Linked DNA regions of Caenorhabditis elegans. The protein of the gene in region 1 interacts with the protein of each later gene in a pairwise test. Each region holds a gene or a part of one and is shown in the gene's direction. Other genes may lie near its edges. The genes, in order: flh-1 and nhr-111.

Region 1 (3,926 bases):
TCCAAGACCTGTAAGAGATTCTCCAAAAGGAAACGAAGACAATACATGCGGCATGTTCTTAGAAATGATACATCTCAACGTTCCAGTCCATACAGTAATCCTAGAAGACGCTCATGCATAGTTCCACCAATTTTTCCTAGAAAGGTCAGTTTTTGAATTTTAATGAGAACTCTGAGCAACCTTTGTTCTCTTTCAGGATTCTCGCATTCATCAGTACTTTCCATTTGATCCTCCATCTCCTTTGTCATCAGAAGAAAAAACTCCAACACAGTCTCGTCACAATTCACCGTCTCCAACAAGGTCTCCTGTAACAGAACCTAAAGAATATGATCCAATAGTACCTCCAAACAGCCCAAAAAGGGGAATTCCAGAGCACTGGTCACAGCGAGCACAAGATAATATTACAATGGGATTTGGTTTTGCTCAGAGTTGGATGAACACCATAAAACCATCGAGAAATACAGTAGAAGAACGAATAAGACTCCCACAAATATATCATGTTCCAAGAAAAGAATTCGTTTGTTTGGTGGCACTCACATCGGTTGATGAAGCTCTCTTCCACACAATATTAATGTTCCCATGACTTCTGAGGTCTTTTAAAATGCATTTCTTCTCTTCTTCAGATCGAAATTTTGTATACATCTCAGCACCCCATAAACAAAAGTTAATTTTCAAAAAATGTTTGATAGATTTGATTCTGTTGAATATTTTCGGCTGCATACTTTAAGCAACAAGTGGATTTTACACCAAATTGTTAACTGTGAGCCGAAAAGGCTGCATCCCTTTTTTGATAAAGAACCAAAGCCAAACCACGTACGGGCTAGAAGAGGAAGAGATTATGATCGTTTCTGAATTTTCAAATAATATTGTAATGTTATTTTCTTCATATGTGCTAGTAAAATGCTTTTTATGGGATGATGCAAGTGAATTTTTCTACATTTCTCGACAATTTATTTGCAATGCAAGTAAGCAGCATAATGACGCAAAATTCGCCATTTTTTTTACATTTCTCTACATTTCTCGACATTTGAAAAAAACACTCATTTTTCGTCAAAACCACGTCTTTAGTTCACGACTTTACCTTCCCAGACGTTCACGTTTGTTAAAAGTAGTGTAAAATGGGAAAAATAAAAATAATTTGAGAATTTTAAAAGATAGATGCGTGGCCATTCAACGTGGTGTTGCAAAACAGCCAAATTTGAAAAATCAAACTTGATCATTTTTAAATTTTAGAATTCAAAACCACGTTGAATGACCACGCATCTATCTTTTAAAATTCTCAAATTATTTTTATTTTTCCCATTTTACACTACTTTTCACAAACGTGAACGTCTGGGAAGGTAAAGTCATGAACTAAAGACGTGGTTTTGACGAAAAATGAGTGTTTTTTCCCACGTCGAGAAATGTAGAGAAATGTAAATAAATGTAAAAAAATTGCGAATTTCGCGTCATTTCGCTGCTTACTTGCATTGCAAATAAATTGTTGAGAAATGTAGAAAAATTCACTTGCATCATCCCATTAGAGATGAATTCCTATTTGAAACTGCTGCAACTATGTAAAAAATATATATGGTGACTTATTGATATTTCATTTTCCATTTTCACAACCTCGTGGACCACCAAAGCAACATGCAATATTCTATTTTGTTTTTTAGGCCTGTTCAAATAAGTTTCCAGTGATACGCAATTTATCGTAGCCGTTATTGCACAAAAAACGTCAATGAGTGACAGTAGTCCACGCGCATAACTGTTCATCATTTTTCGTTTCATTTGTTTTTTCTCTGGACAGATCTGTGTTTCTCGCAATTTCTTTTCATATTAAATCGTTAAAATAGTAATTTTCAATTTCCAATTATAAGAAAACCGAAAGTTATTCTTATAATCTCTCAAATGCTTAAAAAACCAACCTAAATAAACAGAAGTTCCTTTTGGATTATTTTAAATTATTTTTGCCAAATCTAAAAATAAAACCAAAAATAAATCAAAATATTCTCAACTATGAGACATTTGTTTAAAAATCGTTTTTTTTTTCGCTTTTGTATTTTACAGGCAGTATTTGTTTTTTTACACACGTTGCCATCTTAATCTATTTTATTCGAAATTTTTATAAAATCTAAATTTATTTTCAGGACGGCGTCTTCCAATTATCTAATATCGGAGGATGTATTCGCCAGAATCGTAAGGCTCCTGCTCAATCATAAAAAAACGCTTGCCTCTATTGTTAATCCTACATGTCTCCCTTTTCTCACGTCTAGCGTTCTTCTCTCCCCTCCCAACATCGCCCTATCTACTGTAATCCAACGTCACCATCTGTCCCCGCTGCCTCCATGCCGTCGTCTTTTTTTGCTCCCGTTTGCTGCGATTGCCCTCCCACGAAGGACCTCTTTGGTGTAAACAGTGGAACGGACCCAAGAGTGCGCGTACGCGGTCCGCGAGCGGCTGACCGCGCACGTCATTAGAAGAGACAACAAATGAATCAGAGAGACGCAGAAGAAGGGACCATAATGTCCCGCCCTTTCCCCGTTGGGTTGAGAGACTTAGACCCCCGAACGCTGCTAATGTTACAAATATGTCATTCCAATAGGATTTTGGTCTACCGTCTGGCTGCATAGTTTTTTACTTCCTATTTTAACCTCATCACTCAATTGGTCTTATCTTCCATGTAACTTAGAATAATTTATTAATTTCAGAATGAACTCCAACATATCTTCTCCATCCCCTCCGTCGTCGTCTTCTCTTAATGCTCCAAGTCTTGCGGATGCTCCTGAAGTTAGATCCGATGATGGAGAAGCCGAAACTTCCGAACCATCGACTTCTGTCACAGCTGTACCAATGGAGATTGTGTCCCAAGCATCTACATCTGCTCCTGTTAACCAGTTGCTCGCGAGCGGAATTGATATGTCTAGCGTTATTAAAGTAAGTTTCCTCTATCCAAGATGTTATTTCATTTGATTGTTATTTCAGAACAACGCTGTTTTACAGGCACTTCTTGCCAGTGCCAGTGCCGGTGGATTCGGAGACAACGCAGGCCTCACCATGTCAAAATTATTGACCGCCGCTCTCGCCAATGGATCCACTGCGGTTGCTAAAAGAGATGCAGGTTCTCCACGTACTGATATCCCAAAGAAAACTCGTCTGAAAGTGTTTTCAAACGGATTTTTCATGACATTTGACAAGCTTTCATCATGTCAAAAGAAATATTTCTGGAGATGTGAATACAAGAACACTTGTAAAGCACGAATGCATACGGATATTGTTACTGAAAAGATCCTCACGTTTATCCATGAGCACAATCACAGTGCACCAATAGATGAAGAAGTTAGACTTTATGGATTGGACCCAACGAATATCGAAAGAAATCGTGTCTACATAGTTGGAAATGTTGCTGATCCAAATCAACGAAGAAAGATCCGAAAGCAAGTTGCGGATAGAGAAGCAGCTGCAAAGAGGCTCGTTCAACAGCAAGAAGAAGAACAACAGAAGCAACAAAGTGCATCATCAATTGTGGCGGCTCGAGCAGCTTATGCGCAAGCAATGCAGAATGGCTCAATACCCACATCTTCTGGGGTCGCGTCTTTTCTCCAGTCAACTTCGGCCACTGCTCCAATGACGTCTCATTCAATGCTCCTTGCGCAGATGCCATTTTTAAATAATATTAAAACGGAGATGTCAAATATGGTGAAAAACGAACAATTCACTCCTGAAAGATACACACAGCATATGTCTCCAAACTTGGTATGTCAACTTAGTGTTGAAAGTTTATTCTATAATAATTTTTAAGCCATTGCAGACCGCCACAATTGCTCCACTAATAATTCCAACAGAGAACTACGACTCACCTTCATATAGACAACCAGCAATCAAAAGAAAAGCTACTGATTTGACGAATGAAGAACATGATTTGAGAAGAGATCCGATGTTCCAGC
Region 2 (3,926 bases), on another chromosome or scaffold:
GGTTTTCATAAATTTTAGTTTTCTGTAACTTTGTCAATAACCAGGACTATGCAATTGCCGCGCACCCTAAACTTACAGCTTTCTTGAAAATCATTTCAAAATCTTCTATTTTCAGATTAATTGTGCGAAAAGTGTCTCGAAAAATGAGAGAAGTTATTGACACTCACAACCCTGGCTTCAAAACTCTAGGATTTTTTGTGAAAAAGAATTACACATCATTGCTCGTGGATAACATGGAAATCAAATATAGCAGCGTGGGACGTGATTGTGTCCTGAAGTATGGACAGAAGACAAAAACAATTATTGGTGCAAAATCTGTTGATGTGGCTTTCAATGACTTTGGAATTATCATGAAGAATCCGGCACTTCGCTTGGAAAAATTTCCGATTCAGCTTTCTGTTGATGTTGAGCAAACTGGGACTTATTTTTCAACTCTTCTTGATGTTTTGAAATCCTCCATGTCTTGCCTACACGTTAAAAAGTTTCATGGGACAGATTTCTCCGAGGAGCAGCTTCTATTAGTGATCCCTTTCCTAAAAGCTGGATATCTTGAAAAAATTGAGCTGCTTTCCAATGAGCCCACAGATCTCGAGAAAATCGCTAAACTTGAGCAATGGAAAAGAGCACAAGTTTTTGATTCGTTCTGGAAGAGTTATAAGGTTTCTGTCGAGGATATGCTCCATTTCAGAGAGTTCTATGTAATTGTACCTTGCTTTTCAAAAGAGGATGCAGTAAAACTGAGAGATGTAAGTTTAAATAAAAAATCGAAAAAAAATCCAAGTATTATTTTCAGTTGCTCACAAAATCAGTGGACTTCGAGAACGGGTGCTTCAAGTTCCCCGAAACCAACATTATCGAAATAGTGAGAGTTTTCATTCTGGACTACGAAGGAGAAGAACGGGCCAAAATTGATTATAACGAGAATGGCACAGATTTTATCTTGGACTTTAGCACAGAACACTTTCGATTGACAAAAAAGAAGATTGTGGACAGTGACTGAAATTAAATTTTAAAAAATATGATTTTTTTTAAAAGTTTTTGTATTGAATAAATTTGAGACAGACCGACGGCTCGAATTTCAGGTCAAAAGTAGAATTTTGCAGTTTGCATAATTTCAGTTTTTGATCACCCCATTCAGTAGGGAGCCATAAAAAATGGAATGATGATTAATATGCTCTTCTGAAAAATTAGACTTGTGTAAACACAGTGACGGATAACGACGTACGATTCGATAAAAAGGAATAGCTGCGGGAAATGGTGAGCACATGTGTAGGCTAGGAAGCAGTAGGCATTTTTTAGATGTGTTTGGTGCGGTTCAGTCAATTTTTTGCTGGGCTTTTGTGCTTCACATTGAGAGCGTTTTGATATTTTTGACTAGAAACTGAATGTGAGAAAATACTTGTTTCCGAGTATACTAGATGCTATACATAGGTTTTACAGTTTTATATCTTTATTGCATTTAACTGAAAATGACCAAAATCTGAAAAGTACGTAATTGGAAAATGTATGTCAAATTTCAGAATTTAATTAAATATACAACTGAATCGAAATCTGAATATTCTGAAATTTTCAATGAAGATCTCAGTTTTTTTTCCACCATCTTTTGCGCTAGGTTAGCTTAAAGACATTTTTCGTTTAAAATGAAAAAGTATTTAAATGAAAAATGACATATATTACGAAAATTTCCGCTTTCAGAAAATGTGATATCATATATTTCCAGCGGACAATTTCCGCATTTCTATGACTCAACAATTTATAGTCCAAATTTTATTTCAATTCGATCATTCCCTAGTGAATGTTTGCTTCTGATTGATTTCAACTTTAAATACACAAGTGATCTGAAGTATGGTATATCTGCAAAAAATTTTAGAGAGATTGCTGCTCAACTTTTGGCACCTTTTCTCTCGTTTCTCTAACTGTCACTTTATCCTTCTTGTACTAAGCCGGCTGCCTCCAACAGGTCAAGTGGGAGGAGTCGTGATTAGAAGTTGAGCAGTAACCAAATTATTTTTATGCTATTATTGTAGATACTGACAGGATATTCTCAACTTACTCAACGAGAGAATATTTAACAAAAAAAGATGAGCAGCCAAAATGCGAAGTCAATCGGTGGCATTTTGGAAACTTCAACAGGTATGCCCCAATTTATGGGATCGAAAAATTTTTTCATGCTTTAACTAGATAATTACTCAACTCACCGAAATGTATAAATGAAAGCATTTGGTAAAATATATCAGAAAATTTTTAGAAGTCGAAAACAAACTTGCAACGTTGTTTTCTAGATTTTGGAATTTTTTTGACATTTTCGAACAGATTGATAGCAATTTTTGTACTATACTTGTTGACATCTCAAAAATGTATTCTATGTTTCCATTATTTAGATCCCAGTTACGTTATAACCTGACAGAGGTTTGCGGGCGGTAAGTAGAAAAACCAGAAGCTTACAAAACTTGACCGCACTTATCAGCTTCTCAATTTACTTAGTTCAAAAGTTTTATGACAGAAGATTTACAATCTTTCACGCATATCTATAACTTTCAGTGCCTCTGGTCATCCAACCGCAGATTGTAAATGACCCCGCGCAAAACAACATAACTCTTCCAATCACGCTTTGTGCAGTTTGTGGGGACACTTCTAACGGAAATCATTACGGTTGGAAAGAAGATTTAGAAACTAGATAACAATGAATTTTAGGTGTGCCAACCTGTTTCGGATGCAGTGGGTTCTTCAGAAGAACCGTTAGAAACAAGTTGGTACATGGATGTTGGAATGGAGACGGAAACTGTGTGATTGATAAAGCGAACCGGAACAGGTGCAAGTCCTGTCGAATTAAAAAGTGCTTCAAGAAGGGGATGAATAAGAATGGTAAGCTGCTTCTCTGAGTTTGGGCTTCAGATCATTAACTTTGTGTTTGCACCATATAGTGCGGTAGGTATTTTTCAGTGGCCGACATTTTTTTGAGTTTCGCGCCGCACCATATTAACAAAGGCCTGAGGCCGGCAGAAGCCTCCTGAAGCCGGCGAAGGCGACACAGTTTCGTCTCTAAATAATTATTTTCCAGCTGTGCAACCCGAGAGAACTTCCCATAGCTACACTGTAGAGTATGTCGAGTTGCCCTCATTCCGAGAGTATTCCAAGGGACTTCTGCCTACTCACTCTGATCGTCTCAGATTCCAACACGAACATGCTCAACATGAAATTGTTAGTTAATCAGGAGACAAACTATCAACCTGAGACACCACAAATTTAATTTCAGGACACAAGCTCCGTGCTAGTTCATCTGAAAAACGCACTCCAGTGGGTGCAACAGTTTTCGCTCTTCGCAGTGCTTTCCGATGTTGAAAAGGTCTAAATGCCAAACATAAAAGTCATTAAAAAAATTTCCAGAGCCAGATCATACTGACCCAGTGGCCACATCTTTTGTGCCTCGCGTTGTTCGAAAACTCCGAAAAAATCTTCATCGATGAAAAATTTGCACAACTGGCTGAGAAATTCAAATCCCTCGAACTTTCGGCGCAGGATTATTTCCTCTTGAAGGGAATTATTATTTTCACGGAAAGTAAGTTTAACTAGAAAAGCTGCTGAGCTTTCAGAAACTAAAATTTCAGCCAAAGATGGCACTGATCTCAAATTCGATCGCCAACTTGATATCTGTATCGGCCTTCTCAATCAGTTGCACCTGGAGTCTTCAAAGTCCAAATCTGGAAGGCTTCTATTTCTCCTCGGCGAGCTTAAATCCTATTCTACTAGACAGCTTGAATCTCTCCTGGATCTTAAAGCTTGTGAGATTGTGATTAGTTTTCTTTAAATTTTGACTATTTTTCTGATGCTGTTATATGCACACATTACCCCCATTTTGCTCACTAGTAGTGCTCAGCTTAAGCTTAGACTTAGGCTTACGGTTAAGCTTAGGCTAAGGCTTAGGC

What was found.
Region 2: the proteins of flh-1 (region 1) and nhr-111 interact in a two-hybrid assay, tested with the Caenorhabditis elegans proteins (2 studies listed by BioGRID).

The regions. Positions count from the first base shown.
Region 1 is NC_003282.8:9,262,467-9,266,392, reverse strand, and holds the start of flh-1 (FLYWCH transcription factor 1), read left to right. Parts: upstream 1-2,129; 5' UTR 2,130-2,161; coding exon 2,162-2,178; intron 2,179-2,690; coding exon 2,691-2,916; intron 2,917-2,964; coding exon 2,965-3,735; intron 3,736-3,781; coding exon 3,782-3,926. Other genes in the region: Y11D7A.19 (NADH dehydrogenase [ubiquinone] 1 alpha subcomplex subunit 13), read left to right, coding at 46-144, 197-583. UniProt on the Caenorhabditis elegans protein: Probable transcription factor. Binds to the DNA sequence motif 5'-[AG]GGCGCCG-3' in the promoters of target genes, including micro-RNA genes, in order to repress expression, and acting redundantly with flh-2.
Region 2 is NC_003283.11:16,122,937-16,126,862, reverse strand, and holds the start of nhr-111 (Nuclear hormone receptor family member nhr-111), read left to right. Parts: upstream 1-2,023; 5' UTR 2,024-2,081; coding exon 2,082-2,133; intron 2,134-2,541; coding exon 2,542-2,652; intron 2,653-2,694; coding exon 2,695-2,865; intron 2,866-3,061; coding exon 3,062-3,201; intron 3,202-3,256; coding exon 3,257-3,346; intron 3,347-3,387; coding exon 3,388-3,559; intron 3,560-3,608; coding exon 3,609-3,808; 3' UTR 3,809-3,926. Other genes in the region: fbxa-143 (F-box domain-containing protein), read left to right, coding at 116-746, 794-1,000. UniProt on the Caenorhabditis elegans protein: Orphan nuclear receptor.